Linked DNA regions of Caenorhabditis elegans. The protein of the gene in region 1 interacts with the protein of each later gene in a pairwise test. Each region holds a gene or a part of one and is shown on either strand. Other genes may lie near its edges.

What was found.
Region 2: the proteins of dpy-11 (region 1) and ugt-3 interact in a two-hybrid assay, tested with the Caenorhabditis elegans proteins (one large-scale study listed by BioGRID).

The regions. Positions count from the first base shown.
Region 1 is NC_003283.11:6,511,581-6,515,509, reverse strand, and holds dpy-11 (Thioredoxin-related transmembrane protein 1), read left to right. Parts: upstream 1-2,163; 5' UTR 2,164-2,164; coding exon 2,165-2,301; intron 2,302-2,627; coding exon 2,628-2,789; intron 2,790-2,843; coding exon 2,844-2,972; intron 2,973-3,020; coding exon 3,021-3,168; intron 3,169-3,213; coding exon 3,214-3,304; intron 3,305-3,354; coding exon 3,355-3,428; 3' UTR 3,429-3,925; downstream 3,926-3,929. Other genes in the region: mdh-1 (Malate dehydrogenase, cytoplasmic), read left to right, coding at 1-90.
Region 2 is NC_003283.11:12,798,391-12,802,319, reverse strand, and holds the start of ugt-3 (glucuronosyltransferase), read left to right. Parts: upstream 1-2,048; 5' UTR 2,049-2,126; coding exon 2,127-2,267; intron 2,268-2,316; coding exon 2,317-2,542; intron 2,543-2,588; coding exon 2,589-2,678; intron 2,679-2,724; coding exon 2,725-3,443; intron 3,444-3,579; coding exon 3,580-3,929.

The DNA.
Region 1 (3,929 bases):
TTTGCCAAGGGAAAGATCGCTGCTACCACCAAGGAACTCGAGGAGGAGAGAGATGATGCTCTAAAGGCTTGCGATGATGCCAACATCTAAATTTTCCCCATAAATTATAACGATTTCCCAACCGCTCCCTTAAACTTAAAATGTAAAAAAAGAAGTAGGCCGTCTTGTCGTTTTTGTAAATGTATTATGTATTCAGTTATTGAACAATGAATTTATTGCATCTTCGGATCGAATTGTTTCAATCTATCTTTCGAAATAACTTGTGACTCGTTTCTGATTTCGTATATCTGTTTATTTCTGGAAGCTAGCAATCAATCTGCCAACGTGGAGGATATGGGTTTGCAAGAATAAAGAAGAAGACAAATCATCTGTACAGAAAGCAGGTTCTAGGCGAGAGAATCGCGAGAAGTAGCGAAATGAGGGTACGAGGAAGAGGCGGTGTGTTGACCATTCATTCCAGCAATCCTTATTCCTTCCGTGTTGGATAACGACCTGTCCCCAGGCGTTTCTATGGCTTTTTCCTCCCATTTTGATCGTTGAAACAGAGATGTTTGCTTTTTTAGAATTAAATTTATGCAACTTTTTAGACTGTGCACTTAAATAGAAGATCTAGAAATAATTAAACGAATTTTAAATGCATAGTCGCAGTAGTAATAGTAAATTGACTAAAGAAAATCATTTTTTAATTTTTAAACAATTTTTAATGAAAGTTTATCTCTGAATCTTTTGAATATCCCTTGTGTAAATTTGTACTTGACCAATTGTTCCAAATTTGTAAATATCAGTTTTTGCAGAAGCAACTACTTTTCGTTGAAAAAATTCACTTTTAAAATAGTGAGACTAGGTGAAAATGTTGTGAATTTTGGCATTTATAGCTACCACGATCGTGGCGAGACCCACTCAGATTAACAGCGTGTGCCTTTAAGTGACTTTTGACTTTTTCCCTAAATTACGATATTAAAAAACTTCCCATGCTTTTTTTTTCATTTTTTAAAATCAAAATTTGCCACAATAGTAGGATTGGAATTTATTCCATGTTTGAGGCTTCTCTAAAAACAAATTTCTAAATAATTTAGAGTTTTGTTTTAATCTTTTCTTTCTCCTATTTCACTTCTTAAATCTCATTTTCTTATCTTGGCAAAGTAACCTAATAGTCAAATCGATTGGCTTGTTGATCTTCACCATAATTTGACCCAAATCAGCTCGCCGCGTCGGTTTTTTTTAATTGACCGATTAGTCGCTATCACAGACGCTATTCATTAATAAACGTCAGCAGGAAGACCTAGTAATCTAGTTATCCACTTCACAACTCGATCAATAATTGCGGATCGGCGTGTTTCAACGAATACGGGAAGACAAGAGAGAGATAAGTTGTTTTTAGTGTGTGTGTATGGGTGAGTGTACGACAGTACCTACATACTGGAGGGGGAATATCCTTGACCCTTTGAGCGCGGACGATGCGACTTCCACCTTCTTTTTAATACATGCTCTGGATACAAGATATCTACCCATTTTTGTTTCTTTTTCTTTGTAGAAATTAATTATTGATCTGTAACTGTGAGGGCAGCAAAAATATTATAAGCCGATTATTTTTTCGCAATTCCAAAATGGACAATATGACTTGCATAATTTGATTACTGAAAAAAAGTGGGCCTTTATAATTTCGACATGAGCATTAACGCTCATATTTTCTGTTAGACAAACAATCTGTGGGTATTTGGTATTTGCAAATAAATATATTTGCATTGGCATTACAGAATCATACTATTTCCCCGCTATTCTGCAAGTTGTGTACAGGCTCAGTTGGTCTACTCTTGATGTTTTGATAGTTGTCTCTTTTTGGTTTTTTTCCTGTAGAAGATGGCTAGTAATACGTGGCTTAAGAACAAGATGAAACCGGTAGCCTTCTTTTTTCTCTTTTCGAACTGCAAAACGAACTGCGGCGACGGCGATAATGTGTGTGCGTGTCTGCCGACCGTACACCCCGCCGCCGAGATATATCCCTTCACTCCGACCGACGTCTTCCTCTTGTGTCTTCTCTTCACACCATAGGCGCTGCTTTTCGTTTTCAATCTTCCGCTTTCTATGTTTCTCTACATTCCTTCAATTCTTCATCATCCTTCCTGGTCACTCTATGACATCTATAAAACAAGTCAATTCCAGAATGCTGCTCCGATTGCTCGCCGTGCTCGGACTTTTCGCCGTTGGAGTCTCGGGGGGACCTACCAGATCTTCCAAGCTCGTCTTTCTCAATGAGGAAAACTGGACAGATCTTATGAAGGGAGAGTGGATGATTGAATTGTAAGTTGTTTCATTGAAAGCTCCAATTTGGAACAATGTATATAGTTTGTACTTGGTAGAATTAACTACTAAGGTTCTCAAGCATACACTTTAAAAACATTTTAATTAGTTACAAAACTACAAAATTGATAACTGATAAATTTTTAAAAATCCGCCGAGATGAAAATCTCAATTAAATTCCATCTTACTAGTACCTATGATATGAAAAGATATAGAGTAGAATCTTTTCATAATTTGAATTCACTGTTGGTTATTAGAATCTTTCTAAATAGCTATAGAAGAGTTAGGTCTAGATCATTTGAAAAAAATAACTTTTAAAATTCCAGCCATGCTCCATGGTGCCCAGCTTGCAAGGATCTTCAAAAAGCATGGAACGCATTCGCCGACTGGTCTGATGATCTTGGAATCAAGGTTGGAGAAGTCGATGTTACCGTCAATCCAGGACTTTCCGGTAGATTCCTTGTCACAGCTCTCCCAACAATTTATCAGTGAGTTTTTGAAAGCTATTTATTTCTACAAAAATCGAACGTTTTTTTTTTCAGCGTCAAGGATGGTGTCTTCCGTCAATATTCTGGAGCTCGTGACAAGAATGACTTCATTTCATTCGTCGAGGATAAGAAATACCGTGTGATCGACCCAGTTCCAGACTACAAGCATCCAAACTCTAAGCAGTACGCTTTTTTGTGGCACAGCAAAAATAATATTATAATTTTTTTCAGAATGGCCGTCGTTGCCGTCTTCTTCAAACTTTCGATGTCGGTTCGTGACTTGCACAACCATCTCGTCGAAGATAAGGGAATCCCATCATGGGCCAGCTACGGACTCTTCGCCGGAGTTACTCTTGCTCTCGGATGTGTTCTTGGATTCGTGAGTTTTTTAAATAGAAATTTCTGTAAACATCGTGATTTCCAGTTCATCGTTATCATCATCGACCAAGTATTCCCTACTGGACCAAGAAAAAGCCAACAAGCCAAGAAAACCGAGAAGAAAGACGCAAAGAAAGGTACTTTAAAATATTCGGATTCTGATTTCTAAAAATTTATTTATTTTCAGATTCTGGAACTGAATCTCCGACAAAGAAAAATGGAAATAACAATAATGGCAAAGAAACGAAGAAGACCAAGTAAATTCTATGCAACTTCCAAAAACCCCAATTGTTTTACCTTTTGTGCATCTTGTTATTTTATTTCAAATTATAATTTAAAAACTTCAAAATGTTTCATATTTATCCCAAACCAGCAGTCTCTGCCCCAAGTTTTTGAATTTTAAAAAATTTGTTAATTATAAGTATTGCCGTCCCCCAAGATATATATAAGTCACTTCTTCCTATGGGTTCCCGTCTTTTTTGTCTCTTTTGTTTTCACCAATGCTTCTCTCCTTCTGCGCATTTCATTTCGGACTCTGCAACGACGACACGTAATTAAAGCGACATCTCTTGCTGCGAGAGCCAGTCGGTGCTGGTCGAGTGTGTGTTCGCTTTGGCGTCGTCACGCCTTCTTTCCCTGCTGCTTTTCGCTCCTCATTCAATGCATTGATCCGTTTGTCCGTTTTTTTGTCCTCTGCTTTCTCTCAAATATTTCACTTTTTACGAAAAAAGTTGTTAATAAATCATAATTCAATTAAAACCT
Region 2 (3,929 bases), 6.3 Mb from region 1:
AATAATTGCGGCAATCCAAGATCTCATTTCTAGGAACGTGTTAGAAAAAACACCGACAAAGAATGAAACTTCGAAACAATTTCTGATAATATTAACGTAATTATAGTACTTATAAAATAAATAGCACCTAAACAAAGAAAATTTCAACATATGTTCTGCAAACGCCTAACTCGCAATAAAAATTAGTTGATATTCTATCTTCTTCCATGTTTTACTGAAATTAGTTATCAGTATTAACTCTCAGGAACCAGAATAAACTTACAAAATAAATTTCTGCAAAATATTAGGTTGAACCGGAAATCTTTGTGACTGGGTTTGCTTTTCCAACGCTAGCCGCAGTTGCACTTTGGTGTTCCCTTGTTGCTAGGGTATAACAACGAGTAAAGGAACTTCATTTTGAAAATCACCCCACTCCTTTCCCTTTGGTCTGAGTTCAGTTAGCCGACAATGTATTTATCTAGTGCCATCCACATCCGACATGGTTCGATGCACCTTTTTCTCTCTCATACCACGATGAAGGATTCGGAAAGTCTCCTGAAGGATGTTTATCATCGACATGTCCGCCACTATAATACTATATACATTTGGTTCCATCACTTCGAAAAGGACGACTTTTCTCTCGAAGACTCTGAGACCCCATAAATTGGATTTGGACACGTTGCAGAAAGCCATGGCAACGGATCCTTTCCAAACCTCCCGTGAGCTGTCAACCGCACTTCAATCCTATCAAACCATCATCGTACGGGGCTGGGAAGCTCTTGGAATGAAGAAAATTATGGGTCGATTCATACCTCACTCTTCGACACAAGCCAACCATGATTTTTGAGTGGATGATTCCATTTCACCCCTCACTCTCCATGGGGCCGATCGATGTTTGGGCCGACTCATCACTGGAACCGAGAAGTGGGTCCTCCATGATAAGAACCACACGCGTGCCCAGTGGTTTGTAGAAGGAGAAACCCCACAGGGTGCCGCCAAACCCGACCTTAACCCCAAAAACGTCATGCTCTCAGTGTGGTGGGGAGTGTACGGCCCCATCAACTGGGAACTGCTTCCTGGGGGCAAAATAGTTAATGGGGACCTTTAAGTTATCTAACCACAAAACCTAAGGAACATATTCAATCGTTCACCCCTGAAGGACGAGCAACTCTACTTTCAACAAAACAACGCTTATCCCTACGTCACGAAACAAGTATTGCAGGAACTGGTCAGGTATGAATGGATGATTTTCCTTCACCCACCGTATTCTTCAGACCATGCCCCATCTGCATACTGACAGTTTTCAGATATGACTCGTGATCTCCGGGAAAGAACCTTCAATACCCATGGAAGTGTCGAATTGGCACTCAAGCATTATTTCGACTCGCGCCTGGAAGGGTTCTGTGAGCAGGGCCTTCATAAGTTGCCCACACGTTGGCAGTACATTGCTGATAATAATAGCAAATAAATATTATTCTGTCGTTTCTCTTGCTCCGAGAAATAAACGATTGAAAAAGTCACAAAGACTTCCGGTTCAACCTAATATATAAACAAATAACTTTCGTTGTCGCGGTTACAATAATTCCAAGAATTGTAGAAACCCAATAACATAGGTAGAACTGTCATACTTCATACTGTCACAATTGATCAACAAATTCACAGAATAACAAAAAATTTGAAAAATTCCATGTATTAGACATCAGACAGGAACAATAATTGATAGTTTTGGATACGTGAAGCCAATGTTTTTGAAGTCTATTGGAGGCATAGATTTACCAGAGTAAAACTAGATTTTCATAATAAACTTATAAAAATTATCAAAGCAAATTTCAGGCAAATCTCTAAATTGACAAACATTTTTGGACACTTTCGAGATGAACTACTTACATGAATACATACTCTAATGCTGACTACACATTCCATTTCTTTATTTTTCTTACGTCTTTTGTTTCTTGTAATTTTTCATCGAGAACAGAGAACATAGAAATAGACACTCCAAGTAAAGAGAGATAATGTTAAAATGCAAGAGACGGTTTCAAATCGGGCGCTGATCATTTGAAAAGTTTGCAACTGAACTTAGTCTGAGTGGTATAAAATGCCTGAAAAAAATTAAGAGAATATGTTGAAGTCTAATTCTCGAACTCAAAATGAGGTACTTATTATTATTAGCATTTTTTCCCGTTGCTTTCGGGTTCAATTATCTTATTATTTCCCCAGTTTTTGGGTACAGTCATATGAAATTTATGGGAAGAATTGCAGACATCCTTGCTGATGCTGGACATAATGTGGTAAGGTTTACTTATTTAAATATTAAATTTCTTATAAGTTCGATTTTAGACTTTATTCCAACCAATAATTTATGATTACTATGCACACAAAAAAATTGTGAAGAATCCGAACATTGAAGTGATTAATTATGAAGTCGATGAAGAAGAAAAAGCTGCAGCTTCTGAAGCGAGTGTTTTCAAGTTTTTCTGGAAAGCAAAAGGATCTAAAAACCCAATCTCTTCTGCAAAAATTACATCAGAAAAACTTTACAAAGAGTTTGAGCATATTTGTAGAAGTAAGATTCATAGTTTTGTTTCAAAAATGCATTCATCAATTTTTAGAAATGCTTTTGGACAAGGAACTTCATCGTTGGATTCTATCGAAAAACTTTGACTCCCACATATCAGAGGCATTTGATTTTTGTGGTTTATGTAAGTAATAATTTAATTTACAATCAAAGTGAATAATCAATGTTAGATCTTGGAGACTTCTTGAAACTAAAATCACCAATCCCTCTCTATAGTGGAGTTCGATGTGGAGCAGCTTCATACGCTGTGGGTGAACCTATTCCATTGAATTACTTACCAACAGAGGGGTCTAATTATGGGAAGAAATCGAGCGCAATTGACCGATTAAGTGACATGCTTGGACTAACCGGTTATCACTTTCAATTCGGGATTTTGTTTGATAAACAATATGATCAAGCTTACCGATTAACTGGTGGAAATGTCCGAACTTGGCAAGAAATACTTCAAAGCTCCACGTTTTTCTTGACAAACTCCAATCCTTACTTATCATTTTCAACACCAACAATTTCAAAAGTGATTCAAATTGGAGGTTTCACTATTGAATCATTCAAAACAACTACACTCGATGAAGAATTTAACAAAATACTTTCGCTCAGAAACAACACCATTCTAGTGTCTTTTGGAACAGTTATTCAATCATCAGATATGCCAGATGATTTCAAAACTGGACTTATTGAAGCATTTCGCAGAATGCCAGATGCTACATTTATCTGGAAATATGAAGAGGATGATAAGACGTTGAAGAATAAACTTTCTGAAAACGTAGTTTTAAGCAAGTGGATTCCTCAGCCAGCTCTGTTAGCAGACAGTCGATTAGATTTGTTTGTGACTCATGGAGGTTTGGGAAGTACTATGGAAGTTGGATATGCAGGAGTGTCAAGTATTATGGTAAGTGAGATAATTCACTTCTGGTTTCACTATTTTCCTGTAAACTTTTGAAATATTTTTTCATCCAGATTCATGATTAGAATATAAAAATGTTTTACCACCCGCTAACCTTCTTGTATCAAACGTATATTTTCAGGTTCCTGTATTCAGTGATCAAGGAGTAAATGCAGAGATGTTAGCTCGCCATGGTGGTGCCATTGTCTATGACAAATTTGATCTTGTCGATAGCAAGAAACTAATGGAGACGATCCAGATGATTCTCAATAATTCTGATTACAGAAAGAATTCGAAACGTCTTTCTGATATTCTTCATAATCAACCAATGGATCCGAAGCAAGTACTTCTAAATCATTGCGAATTTGCGGCTCGATTTGCACAGGTTGATAATTTAGAACCATACGCCAATAAATACAACTTTATCGAATTTTATTGTCTTGACAGTCTAGCATTGGTTGTTTGTACAATTTCTGTTGTAGCATTAGTGAT